Linked DNA regions of Callithrix jacchus. The protein of the gene in region 2 interacts with the protein of the main gene of each other region in a pairwise test. Links are inferred from orthologs where the notes say so. Each region holds a gene or a part of one and is shown on either strand. Other genes may lie near its edges.

Region 1 (7,172 bases), on a different chromosome or scaffold from region 2:
AGACTCGAGGTCTCCCTATGTTGCTTAGGCTGGGCTCAAGCTTTTCCCAAATGACTCATTTGTGACCATGCCAGGTAACCAAGGGATTACTGAAAAATAGGAATGACTTTAACAAATACAGGCTCATGACATCCCAAAAGTGGTCAGAATCTTGCCATGGTTACACAAATGGTTAGTATGTAAACTTGGCTCCAAATGAATTATTAATACTAAATTGTTTTTAAACTTTTTATCAAATAAATAGATCATCAACACCTAAAAGTATTAACATGTTTGGTATCTTTTTCTAGACTACTGGACTTGGAGGATCAGTAGTTGCAGGTCATGCATCAGACCAGATTGAAAACATGGTGCCTGTTAAGGATCGAATCATTAAAGTTACCTTTAATGCAGATGTGCATGCAAGTCTCCAGTGGAACTTTAGACCTCAGCAAACAGAAATATTTGTAAGTGACTAACCAGTCATTAAAAGATTACTTTATTAATGTAAATTCCTTTTTTTCTTCACATAAACTGTCAGAGGACTGCTTTTAACAATGCAGTTCTAATAAAACATGGCATTTTCCCTTGTTCCAAACTGACTTTTACTATCATGTAACTTAAAAGTTAACATATAAATTGTTACATTACGTGTAAGGCACTATCAAAAAGTAGTCTGTGGGAATAAAAAAATTGATAGTAATGGAACCTGTCAGTATTTTGAAATAAAGTTTAGGTGAGTGAAACAGTTGGGAGTAGCAGTAGCTGTCAGGCCATACAGCTTCCTGACTTCCTTTGGCATAGAAGACATGGGAAAATCATTGGTTACAATGAGTAGTTTACTGATTTATATAAAAGGCATCCCTGTCCTTCGAAAAGAAAAATAAATTGAGGGCCTTTGAAGTAATCGATAGTAAATAGTTATACTCCAGTGAGACTAAGTGAGACTGTCCTAAAAGCTTTCCTAAAATTTTAACCAACTGTAATCTTGGGAAGATTTTAACTGATACCTTATTAACTGACGATTAGCCAGTGGAGTTAATTTCAACTCATAATGGAAAAGCCTTATAAATATTAGTGCTTTCCCAGTTTAGTAAACATGACAATCTCTTTAATAATTAAAGATTTTATAGGTTATGATTATGAATATTATCCAATTACATGGTGGTATACAAGGTATTAGTGGCTGAATTGGTACAAGTGACAGAATATCCTTTGGAAATTTTAAGCTTTGCTATCTTCTTATTTTCTCCAAATAAAGTATTAACACTTGTTTGGCATAATAAAGGTTATAGTCAGTCAGTTTTATTATGGTTTTAAGGTAAGTTTAATGTTGATTTTTTTAAAATCTAGTCAATCGTGACTTTCAGGTATAAGTGTTACAGAAAGGTTGGGCTTGGGCTGTGATATGATTGGGTTGGACACATTTTAAATAATGTAATTTGCAGATTATTCCTTGAAGACTTCAAATATATAAGAGGACAATTCATAACTATAGATATTAGAACATTGGTTCTTCATTGACATATGCAAGTAAGTTTTAAAGTCAGATATGTTTGTGGGTAATACTCAGTTTATTTTGCTGAACCCTGCATCAGATTAGGTATTATGGTCTGATAAATGGGCAAAATAATTAGACTAATCTAGCAGGAAAAAGAGGGACTGTGTGAGATTTAAAGTATTGATAATTTATATCCTTTAAAACAGGTGGTTCCAGGAGAGACTGCACTGGCATTTTACAAAGCTAAGAATCCTACTGACAAACCAGTAATTGGAATTTCTACATACAATGTTGTTCCATTTGAAGCTGGACAGTATTTCAATAAAATACAGGTACAACAAAATGTAAACTTTACAAAATATGATAAAGGTACATGAAACTTAGTGTTTTAGTAGATCTTGTGGTTTCTGAAAACTAATTTCTTCTAAACATCAAGCTATTTTTCTTCATTATCTATACTTGCTATGCAGAGATTGAGAACCAAACCAAATGGATATCTGCTTCTAAGATTAGAATTTGTTTTTGATCCTTAAAGCAGAACTCATTGAGATGAAAAGATGCTCTTATTTTATCACAGAACTCTGTATTTAACAGTATGCTTATTAAAGTCAAGAAGTGTACTGGAATGATAAGTGAACTCTATTAGTTTCTGTTATGTAATATGAGAATAGAAATGTTATTAAACAAAATCTTCTTATAACTTCTAGTGCTTCTGTTTTGAAGAACAAAGGCTTAATCCCCAAGAGGAAGTAGATATGCCAGTGTTTTTCTACATTGATCCTGAATTTGCCGAAGATCCAAGAATGATTAAGGTTGATGTTATCACTCTTTCTTACACTTTTTTTGAAGCAAAAGAAGGGTACCAGTTGCCAGTTCCGGGATATAATTGAAGTCAGCAACTAAGTCTTCCTTCAAAGTTGTGGTTTTTGGGAAAATAATGTATCCTGTCTTCTCAGAGGAGAAATATTGTACAATAATTTGAAGCCTTATATTTTAAATAGCTATTTTTTTCTCAACTAATTTATTTCACTTAAAATTGAGAGAACAGGTTTAGCTTTTATCATAAGAAACCCACATGTCTAGCTAGAATGTATGACTGACTATTCAATCCCATACTGAAGAATTTGAAAGTGTTAAAACAAACCGCTTTGTTTTTTAAATATGGAGGCATGGACTTAATGGTTCGGCTTAAGTCCATGCCTTAATGGTTCCCTTCTAGATTATTAACTCTTCATAATTATAGCAATGAATCTGAGAAGGTTTTCAAAAATATATGCTCAGGGTTATTTGTTTCAAGTCATAGGCCAGTACTTCTGACCATGTTTATTATTATGTCTAAAAGAGTTGGTTGCTATTTTGAACAGTCAATATTTTAAAAGCTCAAAGTAGGAGTCACTAAGCCCTAACAGCTTGTCCAAAGATTTAAATTCTTATTTCAAATTTGACTTTTTGTCCTTTAAGATCTAGGGCTATTTTATATTCAGAATTCTGAATAATTACTTTGAAATTGTCCTATCATGAAATTGAAATAAAGTAAGTATATTTACTAGGCTGCTAGCTTTTACCATCATTATTACAAGTCCATGAATGTTAAAATGTACAGGTGGGATTGTGATGTACTGACATCAGAAGTTCTTCCGGGAACAAACTTTGTAAAAAAAAAAAAAATGTATTAAATTATTTTATTTTTCATCAAATGTAATACTTATTCTGAATATTTTCCAGTTGTCTGTGTTCCAAATAGAAATGTTAAGTTATAGTAAAAAGAGAGAAAAGACTATTTAGCATTACAAAGAATCAAAAAGCCCATCCATTGCAGAGTCTAGTGACCTGTTCAGGACACCTAAAATATAATTAAATGACAATCATCAAGGCTTTAACAATTTATAATTCTAAACCAGAGGATTATTTATAAAGAAGTGCAAATTGACTTTTACATTCAACTTTAGTTAAATGAAGGCACTCAGTATTTATGCTTCCAGAATAATACATTCAGTTTCTCACATTTTATGCTTTCATCTATTCAGAATTATTTTATAGTAAGATAATCTCTTATCCACAGCTGTGTGATGATTTGTAAATGTAGGAAGGCCTGTGAAACATATGACACTGCAGTTAAATTGGTTGCCTAAGGACTAAGTAATTTTTTTTCTGCTAAAGTTTTAAGTTGAGTATTTGTTCCAAACAAGTTCTGTTGAAATCTCACGCTGTTGTCAGGAATCACTGTTATCCTGGAACTGTTAGTCTTCTGTTTAAGCTTCATTATAGCAGAAATGTTCCACCATGGCTCTGACATGTTGGTAGGTAGGTATTGTCCAGGCCTCAAAGCTGCACAGTCTACTCTTTAGAGAGTTGGCATCTTTGATGTGGCTAGTGAGGTGATCGTCCTCTTTCTTCTAGAATAGAGAAGAAAATGTCCAGTATTCATCCTGTCCTTCTCTATCCCCATTTCTTGATAACTCTTGTACTTGTCTCTAGCGGGAGGCTGGAGAGCCACAGTCTAGCAGAAAAAAGGTAAGAATGTACTTCTTCCACAGGGGAGGGATAAGAGGAATAAATAAGTTTAATAGTTCATTGGTGACCGTTAAATAGTAAATACATGGGATCAGTAGTGCTGAAAATAGGAAAAACTCAAGACCTATTTGGAGGAGTAATAGTAAATGGGTCTACTGGTACCAGTTAACAAATATTAATGGCACATGAAAGACAAGTGCCTGACTTGTTCATCTATTTTTGTTAGCACTAATATTTCTATACCATAAAGTAACTAATGCATTCCCAAGCCTTATTATTTACAGATGACAGAAGCACAAAGAATGAATTTCATTAGTGAATAATGGCTCCCCATAATTTGAGTGATTCAGGGGAACTCATATTTCAAAGTGTCAGACTCAGATGGCCTTTACAAAATATAAATACTAAACATGTAAAGTGAAAATTATACTGAAATTATTTGTAATATGGAATTAAGCTGTGTAAGTTGAAGTTTTTACCTCAGTCAACATGATTCTGAGCTCCTTTGTGCTGGTGAGCGTCAATTTCTTCATAAATAGCTCTGAAACAAAGCCATCACAGCAAAAGGATTATATATCCATTTCAAAGTGCAATTTTGGTTTTTAATTGCCAGTACCATAATTAAAAATTGAGCTGTTTTGGAGTTCAGGCTACATATGAGTAAAAACAATCTCTGCCCTGAATTGTATATTCTAGTTTTCTTAAATTGTAATGTTACACTTCCCTTATTTTTTATTTATTTATTTATTTTTTGAGACAGAGTCTCACTCTTGTTGTCCAGGCTGGAGTACAATGGTGCTTTCTTGTCTCACTGCAACCTCTGCCTCCCAGGTTCAAATGATTCTCCTGCCTTAGCCTCCCAATTAGCTGGGATTACAGGCACATGCCACCATGCCCAGCTAATTTTTTTGTATTTTAAGTAGAGACGAGGTTTCACTATATTGGCCAGTCTGGTCTCGAACCCCTGACCTCAGGTGATCCACCCACCTTGGAGGGCCAGGATTACAGGTGTGAGCCATTGCGCCTGGCCTTAATATTGCAATTCCTGTGCCTTTTTTTTTTTTTAAGTTTTAAGATGGAGTTTTGCGCTTGTTGCCTAGGCTAGAGTGCAGTGGTGCAATCTGGGCTCACTGCCATCTCTGCCTCCTAGGTTCAAGCAGTTCTGCTTCAGCCTACTGAATAGCTGGAATTACAGGCATGTGCCACCATGCCCAGCTAATTTTGTATTTTTAGTAGAGAAGGGTTTTTTTTCATGTTGGTCAGGCTGGTCTTGAACTCCTGACCTCAGGTGATCTGCCTGCCTCGGTCTCGCAAAGTGCTGGGGTTACAAGGGTGAACCACCACTCCCAGCCTCCTATGCCAATTAAAAGTATGTATTTTATAGAACCAATTCATTTTTTCTTGTGATTTAAATGAAAAATATGGCTCAAATTTGGAGTTTACATTTTTACTTAAAAAACTCTTCAATTTCTTCTGGTTTCAAACATTAAAAAAAAATTACGCCAAGTACAGTGGCTCACACCTATAATTCCAGCACTCTGGGAGGCTGAGGTGGGTGGATTGCTTGAGTCCAGGCTGAGGTGGGAGGATCACTTGAGCCTAGGAGGCGGAGATTGCAGTGAGCTGAGACCGTGCCACTGCACTCTAGCCTGAGCTACAGAATGACACTCTTGTCTAAAATAATAATAATAATAATAATAATCTTCCAGCTTATTTAACTTATGTGATTAAAATACAGGCGCCTCAAGCCACCTATAGCTCATCACTCTCATTTCTGTGCTTTTCTTTATATTGTATTTTTTTTTTATGACATCCTTCATTCTTTTTTTGAACTCTGTCACCCAGGCTGGAATGCAGTGGTGCAGTCATGGCTACTGCAGCTTCAGCCTCCTAGGTTCAAATGATCCTCCCACTTCAGCCTCTTAAAATATTGGGATTAGAGGCATGAGCCACCATGCCTGACTCATTCAATTCTTTTTATGTATCTTACATATATCTGTAGCTGGAAAATATCTATACCTGAAACCACAACATTCATATACACAATATAGCAAAATATGGCTGAGGAAAAGCCTCAAAAATCACAGCACTATGAAACCATAATCACCAAGTTCATAAGGCCCCAGAATGGTCCTACAATTTTAATGTTTCCTTAAAAAGTCTGGTCTCTTATCTCCCTCAAAACGATGTCAGCCTTCTTCATTCTCCTCATACCTCTGACTTCTCTGGTAGAAACCTCATTCTTAATACATTAAATGTCTTGATATGAAAACTTCCTCATCTTCCCATCACTAAATCTTTAAGTTTCTTCATTTGTATTGTCCTTTATTTCTGTGATCCTATCTACTCCAGGCTTCTTAAGCACTTCACCCATTCAGTTATTCTCCCCTTCCTGAGTCTTCAGCCTCTCCTTCTGTGGCAGGTCCTATTCCTCGACTTTCACAGATTCTCCAACATCTCCCATATCTTCTATTTTATACAAAGTATGATCTTTAATTCTACCTCTACTTGTAGCAAATGCCTTGGTATCCTCTAGCTACCAACCCCTTTTTCTTTTTCTTTTCTTTTTTTCTTTTTTTTGAGACGGAGTTTTGCTCTTGTTGCCCAAGCTGGAGTGCAACAGTGTGATCCCAGCTCACTGCAACTTGCACCTCCTGGGTTCAAGCAATTCTCCTGTCTGCCTCCCGAGTAGCTGGAATTACAGGCACCATTTTTGGTAGAGACAGGGTTTCTCCATGCTGACCAGACTGGTCTCGAACTCCTGACCTCAGGCACTCTGCCCGCCTCAGCCTCCCAAAGTGCTGGGATTACAGGTGTGAGCCACTGTGCCCAACCCCAAACCTGATTTTATCATTGTTTCACATTTAAGTTCGTATCTGCACTTAACTGTCTCTACTTAATCTCTTCTGTGCTTTTCAAATGCACTGAAATTTGGCATCTGTCCCCATCAATCCATCAAATAGCTTTTACAGAAATCATCAGTGATCTCTACATAATCTGTTGTCTAGTTTTCAATTCTCATCTTACTTGTCTGCCCTTAGCACTGACTTTCACAGTTGTACTCATTCCTCTTTGCCTCCAAATACATTTTCCACATCTGGTTCTGAGCTCCCTGTTAACTTTTTTAACTCTTGGCTTTGGCATTTCTGTTTCCTTGAATGTGCCAGAACTCTTTCCT
Region 2 (8,476 bases):
AAGGCGCGGCCGCCGGCCCGGAGTTCTCACTGGAGTTCTCACTGCCCGGGTCCTCACTGGGGAAGGCGCGGCCGCCGGCCCGGAGTTCTCACTGGAGTTCTCACTGCCCGGGTCCTCACTGGGGAAGGCGCGGCCGCCGGCCCGGAGTTCTCACTGGAGTTCTCACTGCCCGGGTCCTCACTGGGGAAGGCGCGGCCGCCGGCCCGGAGTTCTCACTGGAGTTCTCACTGCCCGGGTCCTCACTGGGGAAGGCGCGGCCGCCGGCCCGGAGTTCTCACTGGAGTTCTCACTGCCCGGGTCCTCACTGGGGAAGGCGCGGCCGCCGGCCCGGAGTTCTCACTGGAGTTCTCACTGCCCGGGTCCTCACTGGGGAAGGCGCGGCCGCCGGCCTGGAGTTCTCACTGGAGTTCTCACTGCCCGGGTCCTCACTGGGGAAGGCGCGGCCGCACAGTACTCCTTGCAGGCACTCACTGATGCTTTCTGACAATGTGCAGACTGTATTGAAAAAGGGTTATCTTTCCAAAATACTGGCATTTCTGAAAAGTGAGGCAAACGCTGCACAGGCTGAAGCATCCCTCAGTGGCTATCGGGGAAACGCAATCCTGGAGATACAAACACTGCACGAACTCTTTCAGAACGATAGGTCGTCTCCACACCTACCTGCTGGGCCCTGAAGTTCCTTCTACCCAAGGACAAAAGAACCCTCCCAGGCCCCCATGAGCAGCCCCTCTGCTCCTTCACGACCCACGGGACCTTGCTGTCACCCCTTCACTAGGTGGAGGCAGCGAGTAGATTGCAGTCAAGGTCTCCTGAGCCAGAGCCTGCCCTGGGCCCTGGGCCCTGGGAAGCACCTCTTTGTGCTGGAAAGCCAAGCACCCTGCAAACCTCCTGCCTCCCCGGCGCCACGAGTTAAGATAAAGAAGAAGACACGATAAATGTCGTGTCAATACGTCCTGCAAAAGCAGGAGTTCCTCCAGATGCTAATAACTGGCCGGAGGCCCAGCATGAGCTCATCCAGAGGGGCTGGATGGGTCATGTTTGGTGAGGCAGGCCAGAGCCAAGGCAGGCCCTGCAGTGGGCATGTGCGGGCAACACTTCACAGAGAGTGCTGCACTGACCTGATGAACTCAGGGCCAAGTCCAGCCTTCCTGTGCCCAAGACCCTCCTGCCGCCACCAGCCCCGGCCTCCCTCCATTCTCGGCCCCTGAAGCGCCCTCCTCTCCACCTCCCTCCATCCTCAGCCCCTGGGCTCCCTCCTCTCCACCTCCAGACTCCACACTTCTTTCTGTGCAGTCCCCTCTCGGCCCACCCCCGACTCACATTCCTCCTCCAAGCTCAGATGAGGTGTCACATCCTCACCCCAACATCCAGCCCCAGTGAGGCCACTGTTTACAAACTCTCCCAGCACCTGACCCTGGAGTTAAGATCAACAGACCTGCCAGCTGCCATCATGTGGTTCCACTGTCCTTATGCACTGCCCTGTGAGATCCCAATGGCAGGAACCACCTGGCTGTCCCCTGTACTGTGGCTGCCCTTTGTGGCTGTCCTAAACACCAGTCAGTAATGCTGGTTGATTAAGTCACACGCACTCCAAACAGCACTTGGACCCCCAGTGCTGACAACACCTTCCTGGAGACCCTGGCAGCTTGAGCCACACCTGATGTCACTGGGTGTTTACAGGTCAACGGGGGTGCCCCTGAAAGACCTGCTTGTCTACAAAGGATAGAAACAGCCCAGGAGGCACCAGGCAAGAGGAGAGTCTGACGACACCTCGGTATGTGTCGGCACAGGCCCCGCGTGTATGAACACCGCCACTCCCACTTCCTCATCGCGGGCACCTCACAACAGGAAGGGCCTGCCTCCCAGCTGCTCCGTGGTGCTCAGCCCCTGCTGAATTCAAACTCAGTCCCACACCCCAGTGCAGTTCCAGACGAGGACAAGTTCCCAGGGGGCTGAGGACGCCTCCCTGACCACACAGTAAGGAAGCGGCCATCCTGCCCAGCCACTGTGCCCCCCACTCTCCAGGACACAAAGGGGGTGCTGGTTCCCTTGTTGCTATGAGCCTGTAGTGAGGCAGAAAGGAGCACCTCACTCAGAGCAGCCTGCAGGCACTCGCTGTGGTGCACTGAGGACGAAGCGGAGCTCACTCACGCCAGAGATGCCGTCCGGGACCTCTGCTGACCCACAGGCTCCACACCTGAGTCTCCTGTGTGTTAGGAGATTTCCTTCAAAGTCCTCAGAAAAATCCTCTGTGCCCAAAACCTGGGGCTTCATTCTAAACTCAGAAAAAATGTTCTGCCTGAAGAATTCTCTCATTAGGAGAAACAGCAGGACTTGTGGGGAGCCCGGGGAACCCTCCACCATGTCCAGTACCGGCTGCATGAGTGCAGGGACCCTACAGCATAGTGGAAAAGGACTTTTTCCACCCATGGCACGTTTAGAGCCGCTGTTGATAAAAACTGGACTGCTCCCAACAGCCCGCCCCAGCCCAGCCTCAGTGAGTGACACAGTTTAAATCTGTGTCCTGCCAAATCTCACGCTGAATCGTGATCCCCAGTGTTGGAGGCGGGGCCTGGTGGGGGGGGTGTGGGTCACGGGGGCAGATCCCTTGTGGCTCGGTGCTGTCCTGGTGACTGTGAGTTCTCACGAGATCTGGTCATTAAAAAGTATGTGGCAGCTCCCACCCCCAACTCTCTTACTGCTTCCGCCATATGACGCGCAGGCTCCCACTTGATCTTCCGCCATGGCTGGAAGCTTCCAGAGGCCTCCCCAGGAGCAGATGCCTGCGCTATGCTACCTGTAGTCTGCAGAACTCAGAGCTGATTAAAACTTCTATCTTGGAAATTACCCAGTCTCTGGTATTTCTTTACAGCAATGCACAAAGAACCTAACAGTGAGCTAGGAGGCACTCACACGAGGAGCCCACTCACGCCAGGAGGCACTCACACCAGGAGCCCACTCACGCCAGGAGGCACTCACACCAGGAGCCCACTCATGCCAAGAGCCCACTCACGCCAGGAGGCACTCACACCAGGAGCCCACTCATGCCAGGAGGCAGTCACACCAGGAGCCCACTCACACCAGAAGCCCACTCATGCCAGGAGGCACTCACACCAGGAGCCCACTCACGCCAGGAGGCACTCACACCAGGAGGCACTCACACCAGGAGCCCACTCATGCCAGGAGGCACTCACGCCAGGAGGCAGTCACGCCAGGAGCCCACTCACGCCAGGAACCCACTCACGCCAGGAGGCCACTCACACCGGGAACCCACTCACACCGGGAACCCACTCACACCAGGAGCCCACTCATGCCAGGAGCCCACTCACGCCAGGGGCCCATCGTCTCTGAGTCCATCTACAGCAGCTCTCCTGCAATATGAATGCTATAGAAACTGACAGGCAACCCTCAGGAGAGAATGAGGAGCAGGAAAGTTTCTTACGAATTCTTGGCACCTAACCTCTCATTTGCAAATGAAGAAACTGAGGCTTTACACGGCCACTAACTGGGAAACTGGGGACACAACTGCGCCCAAGAAGTGGTCACCACTGCTCTGTAGCGTAAGGGGGAAGGAGGAAACTGCCACCATCCATGGGACCAACCAGAGTGGAGGCCCACCTCCACCGCGGGGGCCATGAGGGTGCAGGGGCTGCCCCCATCTGGGGGACCATTAGGGTGCGGGCCCGCCTCCGCCTGGGAACCATGGGGCACAGGGCCGCCTCCATCTGGGGGACCATTAGGGTGCGGGGCCCTCCACCATTTGGGAGACATTAGAGCAAGGGCCGCCTCCATCTGGGGAACCATCGGGCACAGGGCCGCCTCCACCTGGGGAACCACGGGGCACAGGGCCGCCTCCACCTGGGGAACCGTGGGGCACAGGGCCGCCTCCATCTGGGGAACCACGGGGCACAGGGCCGCCTCCATCTGGGGAACCGTGGGGCACAGGGCCGCCTCCATCTGGGGAACCGTGGGGCACAGGGCCGCCTCCATCTGGGGACCGTGGGGCACAGGGCCGCCTCCATCTGGGGGACCGTGGGGCACAGGGCCGCCTCCATCTGGGGACCGTGGGGCACAGGGCCGCCTCCATCTGGGGGACCGTGGGGCACAGGGCCGCCTCCATCTGGGGGACCACGGGGCACAGGGCCGCCTCCATCTGGGGAACCACGGGGCACAGGGCCCGCCTCCATCTGGGGAACCACGGGGCACAGGGCCGCCTCCATCTGGGGAACCACGGGGCACAGGGCCGCCTCCATCTGGGGAACCGTGGGGCACAGGGCCCGCCTCCATCTGGGGAACCACGGGGCACAGGGCCGCCTCCATCTGGGGAACCGTGGGGCACAGGGCCGCCTCCATCTGGGGAACCACGGGGCACAGGGCCGCCTCCATCTGGGGAACCACGGGGCACAGGGCCGCCTCCATCTGAGGCTCACCCCGCGCGCAGGCCCCCTCACCTGGGGCCGCCTCCCCAACGCTCTGCCCGGGCGCGACGGGGAGTTCGAGCGTCCCGCAGCGCGGGCGCATCCGTCCGGCCCGCCCCGCCCCGAGTGACGACGCCGCCGCTCCCCTCCGGCCGGCCGGGCGCCCCGCGTGCCCTGGGGGAGCCAAGGAGCCCTCCTGCCCGCCGTCGCTGACCAGAAGCCCCGGCCCGAGGCCCCGCCCGCCGCAGGTGGCCGCCCCCGCCCGACCCTAGCCCTGCGGCCTCACCGGCCCGCGCTGAGTGCTGACGGTGGTCGCCATGGTGCTGCGGCCGGCCCTGGGCCTCGCCGACCCGACAATGACGCGCCGGGCGACCTCCTGCGCCCCCGCCGGAGCCTGCGACGGGGACGGTTGTCACCTCGAGGCCGCCGCCGCCGCCGCCGCCACAGTCAGCTGACAGCCGCCGCGCCCCTCCCCCGCGCCCCTCCCCACTGCGCAGGCGCCGCGCCACCAGGCACCGCCCCTTCCGGCTCGCGCGCGCACGCACGCTCCAGGGGCGGTCAAGCGCAGCCTCTCGCCCGGCGCCTGCGCACCCGCTTCTCTCCGAGCCCAGCCGGCCGGTCAATGGCTCCGGGCACGGCCGTCTGCGCATGCCCCGTCATGACAGCCGTCGGCGCAGGCCCAAGCATGGCGGCGCTGCGGTCTGGGCAGTGCGTTGGCTCCTCCTCGGGCGGGGTGAGCTGCGGACGTGCGATCCGCTCGGGGCCCGACAGCCCCTCCGGCGCGATCCTTGCCTCGGCTTCCTGCGCGAGGAAGGGCCTTTCTGGTCAAAAGTGCCAGAGAGAGGCCGGGCGCGGCCGCGCGCGCCAATAATCCCAGCACTGTGGGAGGCCGAGGCGGGCGGATCACGAGGTCAGAAGATCGAGACCATCTTGGCCAACATGGAGAAACCACGTCTCTACTAAAAATACAAAAATTAGCCGGGCGTGGTGGCGCGCGCCCGTAGTCCCAGCTACTCGGGAGGCTGAGGCAGGAGAATCGCTTGGACCCAGGAGGTGGAGGTTGCAGTGAGCCGAGATCGCGCCATTGCCCTCCAGCCTGGGCGACAGAGCGAGACTCCGTCTCAAAAAATAAGGCGGGGGGGTGGGGGGGAGCGGGGAGATGCCAAGTGCCACGAATGGTGGGCGCGGTACCTGCGCAGGTGCTGCTGCCAGGTGAACGGGACCGGGATGGAGGCCCTGCCAGAAGAGCCCGAGTTTAAGCCCGCCTTGCCCTCGGCCTCTGGCGTTTATGGTCAGCAGAACAGGTTAATAAGGTTTACCCAGCAGACCCGGGACTTGGGTCCTGATGTGCTGCTTTCTTAGGAACAAAAAGCATCCTGAGTTGAAGTTTCGCCTTAAAGAGGATGATGTAGATGCTTGGGCAGGACAGGCGTCAGGCAGCGCGAGCCCGGTGATGTTTTGGCTGTTCTCTTACCTATAAACAAGGGTCGTACCCAGGTGGACGCCTTCCTCCTCGTGCGTTTGCCAACACCCGGCCTGTCTGTGGAGTAGCCATTCTTTGATTCCTTCGCTGCCTTAATAAACTTGCTTTCACTTTACTCTGTGGACTGGCCCAAATTATTTCTTGCACGAGGTCCAAGAACCCTCTTTTGGGGTCTGGATCAGTACCCTTTTCCCGTAACACAACCAACTCCGCTAAAAGCTCTTGGGAAGGGGATCAGGGGTCTCTAAATTGTTAGTGGGCGAGTCGCAGTCTCGTCCTCCAGGCAGCAGACCAGAATGGATTGTCATTCCTGCTACCCACGCTTCACTCACTGTCCAGGACACATGTTCTCTCACTTTCATCTCAGAGGCCGCATCTTCAGGTCTCGCTTACCAGCCTCTCCTTTAGAAAGGGGCAGACTGGGCCGGGTGCGGTGGCTCAAGCGTGTAATCCCAGCACTTTGGGAGGCCGAGGCGGGTGGATCACGAGGTCAACAGATCGAGACCATCCTGGTCAACATGGTGAAACCCCGTCTCTACTAAAAATTACAAAAAGTTAGCTGGGCACGGTGGCGCGTGCCTGTAATCCCAGCTACTCAGGAGGCTGAGGCAGGAGAATTGCCTGAACCCAGGGGGCGGAGGTTGCGGTGAGCCGAGATTGCGCCATTGCACTCCAGCCTGGGTAACAAGAGCGAAACTCCGTCTCAAAAAAAAAAAAAAAAAAAAAGAAAGGGGCAGACTGGCTGCCTGCCTGTTTTGATGTGGTTTAGGGAAAAAGAACAAAGTCCCTGCCTCAAGTTGGACAGCTGAACTTCCAGCTAATCCATAGCCCAAGACCCAAGAAGCTGTGAACCCCAAGTTCCTGCTCTAGGGGCCTAGGAACTTCCCCAGGCCCCCACATGTGCAGTTAGACTTACACTTCAACTATTGTTACCCCTTCCTCATTTTCATGCTAAAAATCACGCCTATAGGGAGCGATTTGAAATACGAATGTTGCATGCGATGTGTGAAGCAGCATGCAAAGCTACTGAGAAGCGCTAGAGAAATCCTTCCTATCCATACCCTGACTGTTGGAAGCCAGTGCTCTGTGCCATGAAGAAAAATTAGCATTGAGACAAAGAATCTTTCAGCAACGCAATTTTTACCTTCTGGACTGCAGGAAGGGGACCCTCGCCAGCCATCGTGCCACGAGAGTATGATGAATAAAGGAAAACGTAAATTTATACTCACACATCTGGGGGTCGTCCTTACTGCTGTGTCTGATCTCTGTTGGTTGGAGCCAGACTCCACAATCTAAACTAAAATGTGATTGGCTACTAACTTCAAACTTTTTTAAACAGATAAAAGCAGTAGAGAGCTGGGACACGCCTGGGAGCACGTCCAACACAGATATCTTTATTACCCTAGAGTTCACAATATACATTTACAACTAACATAAAAGTCCTCTTTCAAATAAAACTATACTGCTTGATGAGCCATGCAATTACTTTATAATAACAACCTCATCCCAACTCTTCCTTCCCACCCCAGTATTATTGCTTTTTTTAATGTAATTATTGCATGATTACACTTACACTTAAACCATAATCATCAAATAAGTATACACACTAACAAACTGGAAAACCTAGAGAAAATGGATAAATTCCTGGGTGCATATAACCTGCCAAGATTGAATCAGGAAGAAAGAGAAAACCTGAACAGCCCAACAATAAGAAATGGGATTGACTCTATAATATCAAGTCTCCCAATTAAGAAAAGTCCAGGACCAGACGGCTTCACTACCAAATTCAACCAAATGTTCAAAGGAAAAAATAATGCCACTTCTCCTGAAACTATTCCCAGAAAATTAAGAGGAGGGAATTCTCCCTAACCCATTCTACGAGGCCAGCATCACCCTGATACCGAAACCAGACAAAGATGTAAAGAAAAAATAAGGCTATAAGGCCAGTGTCCCTGGTGAACAAAGACACAAAAATTCTCAATGAAATACTAGCAAACTGAATCCAACAGCACATGAAAAAGATAATACATCATGATCAAGTGGGATTTATCCCAGGAATGTAAGGATGGTTCGACATATGTAAATCAAGATGTAAATCACATCAACAGAATGCAGGACAAAAATCACATGATCATCTCAATGGATACAGAAAAAAAAGCATTTAATAAAATTCAACATCCCTTTATGATGAAAACTCTCAATAAAATTGCATAGAAGGAATGTATCTTAACATAGTAAGGACCATGTATGGCAAACCCACAGCTAACATCATGCCAAATGGGGAAAAGTTGAAAGCCTCCCCTCTAAGATCTGGAACAAGACATGGATAATTACTTTCACCACTTCTATTCAACGTAATACTTGAAGTCCTGGCTAGAGCAATCAGCAAGAGAAAGAAATAAAAGGCAAAAAAAGAAGAGGAAAAGAATACGTCAAATTGTCCCTCTCTGAAGATGATATAATCTTACATTTAGAAAAACCTAAAGACTCCACTAAAAAATCATTAGATCTGGTAAATAAATTCAGGAAGGTTCCATGATATAAAATCAACATACAAAAGTCAGTAGTGCTTCCA

The links. The genes of interacting proteins can lie anywhere in the genome.
Region 1: the proteins of TOLLIP (region 2) and TOM1L1 interact in binary tests that used the Homo sapiens proteins (3 or more experiments, as listed by UniProt). The link is inferred for Callithrix jacchus from reciprocal best matches to the Homo sapiens genes TOLLIP and TOM1L1.

What each region holds. Positions count from the first base shown.
Region 1 is NC_133506.1:111,245,964-111,253,135, forward strand, and holds the end of TOM1L1 (TOM1-like protein 1), read right to left. Parts: intron 4,536-7,172; coding exon 4,474-4,535; intron 3,981-4,473; coding exon 3,825-3,980; coding exon of another isoform or gene 3,733-3,824; 3' UTR 3,149-3,732; downstream 1-3,148. Other genes in the region: COX11 (cytochrome c oxidase assembly protein COX11, mitochondrial), read left to right, coding at 291-446, 1,687-1,812, 2,188-2,370. UniProt on the Homo sapiens protein: Probable adapter protein involved in signaling pathways. Interacts with the SH2 and SH3 domains of various signaling proteins when it is phosphorylated. May promote FYN activation, possibly by disrupting intramolecular SH3-dependent interactions.
Region 2 is NC_133511.1:130,589,997-130,598,472, reverse strand, and holds the start of TOLLIP (toll-interacting protein), read right to left. Parts: upstream 4,872-8,476; 5' UTR 4,738-4,871; coding exon 4,705-4,737; intron 4,643-4,704; exon of another isoform or gene 4,452-4,642; intron 1-4,451. UniProt on the Homo sapiens protein: Component of the signaling pathway of IL-1 and Toll-like receptors. Inhibits cell activation by microbial products. Recruits IRAK1 to the IL-1 receptor complex. Inhibits IRAK1 phosphorylation and kinase activity.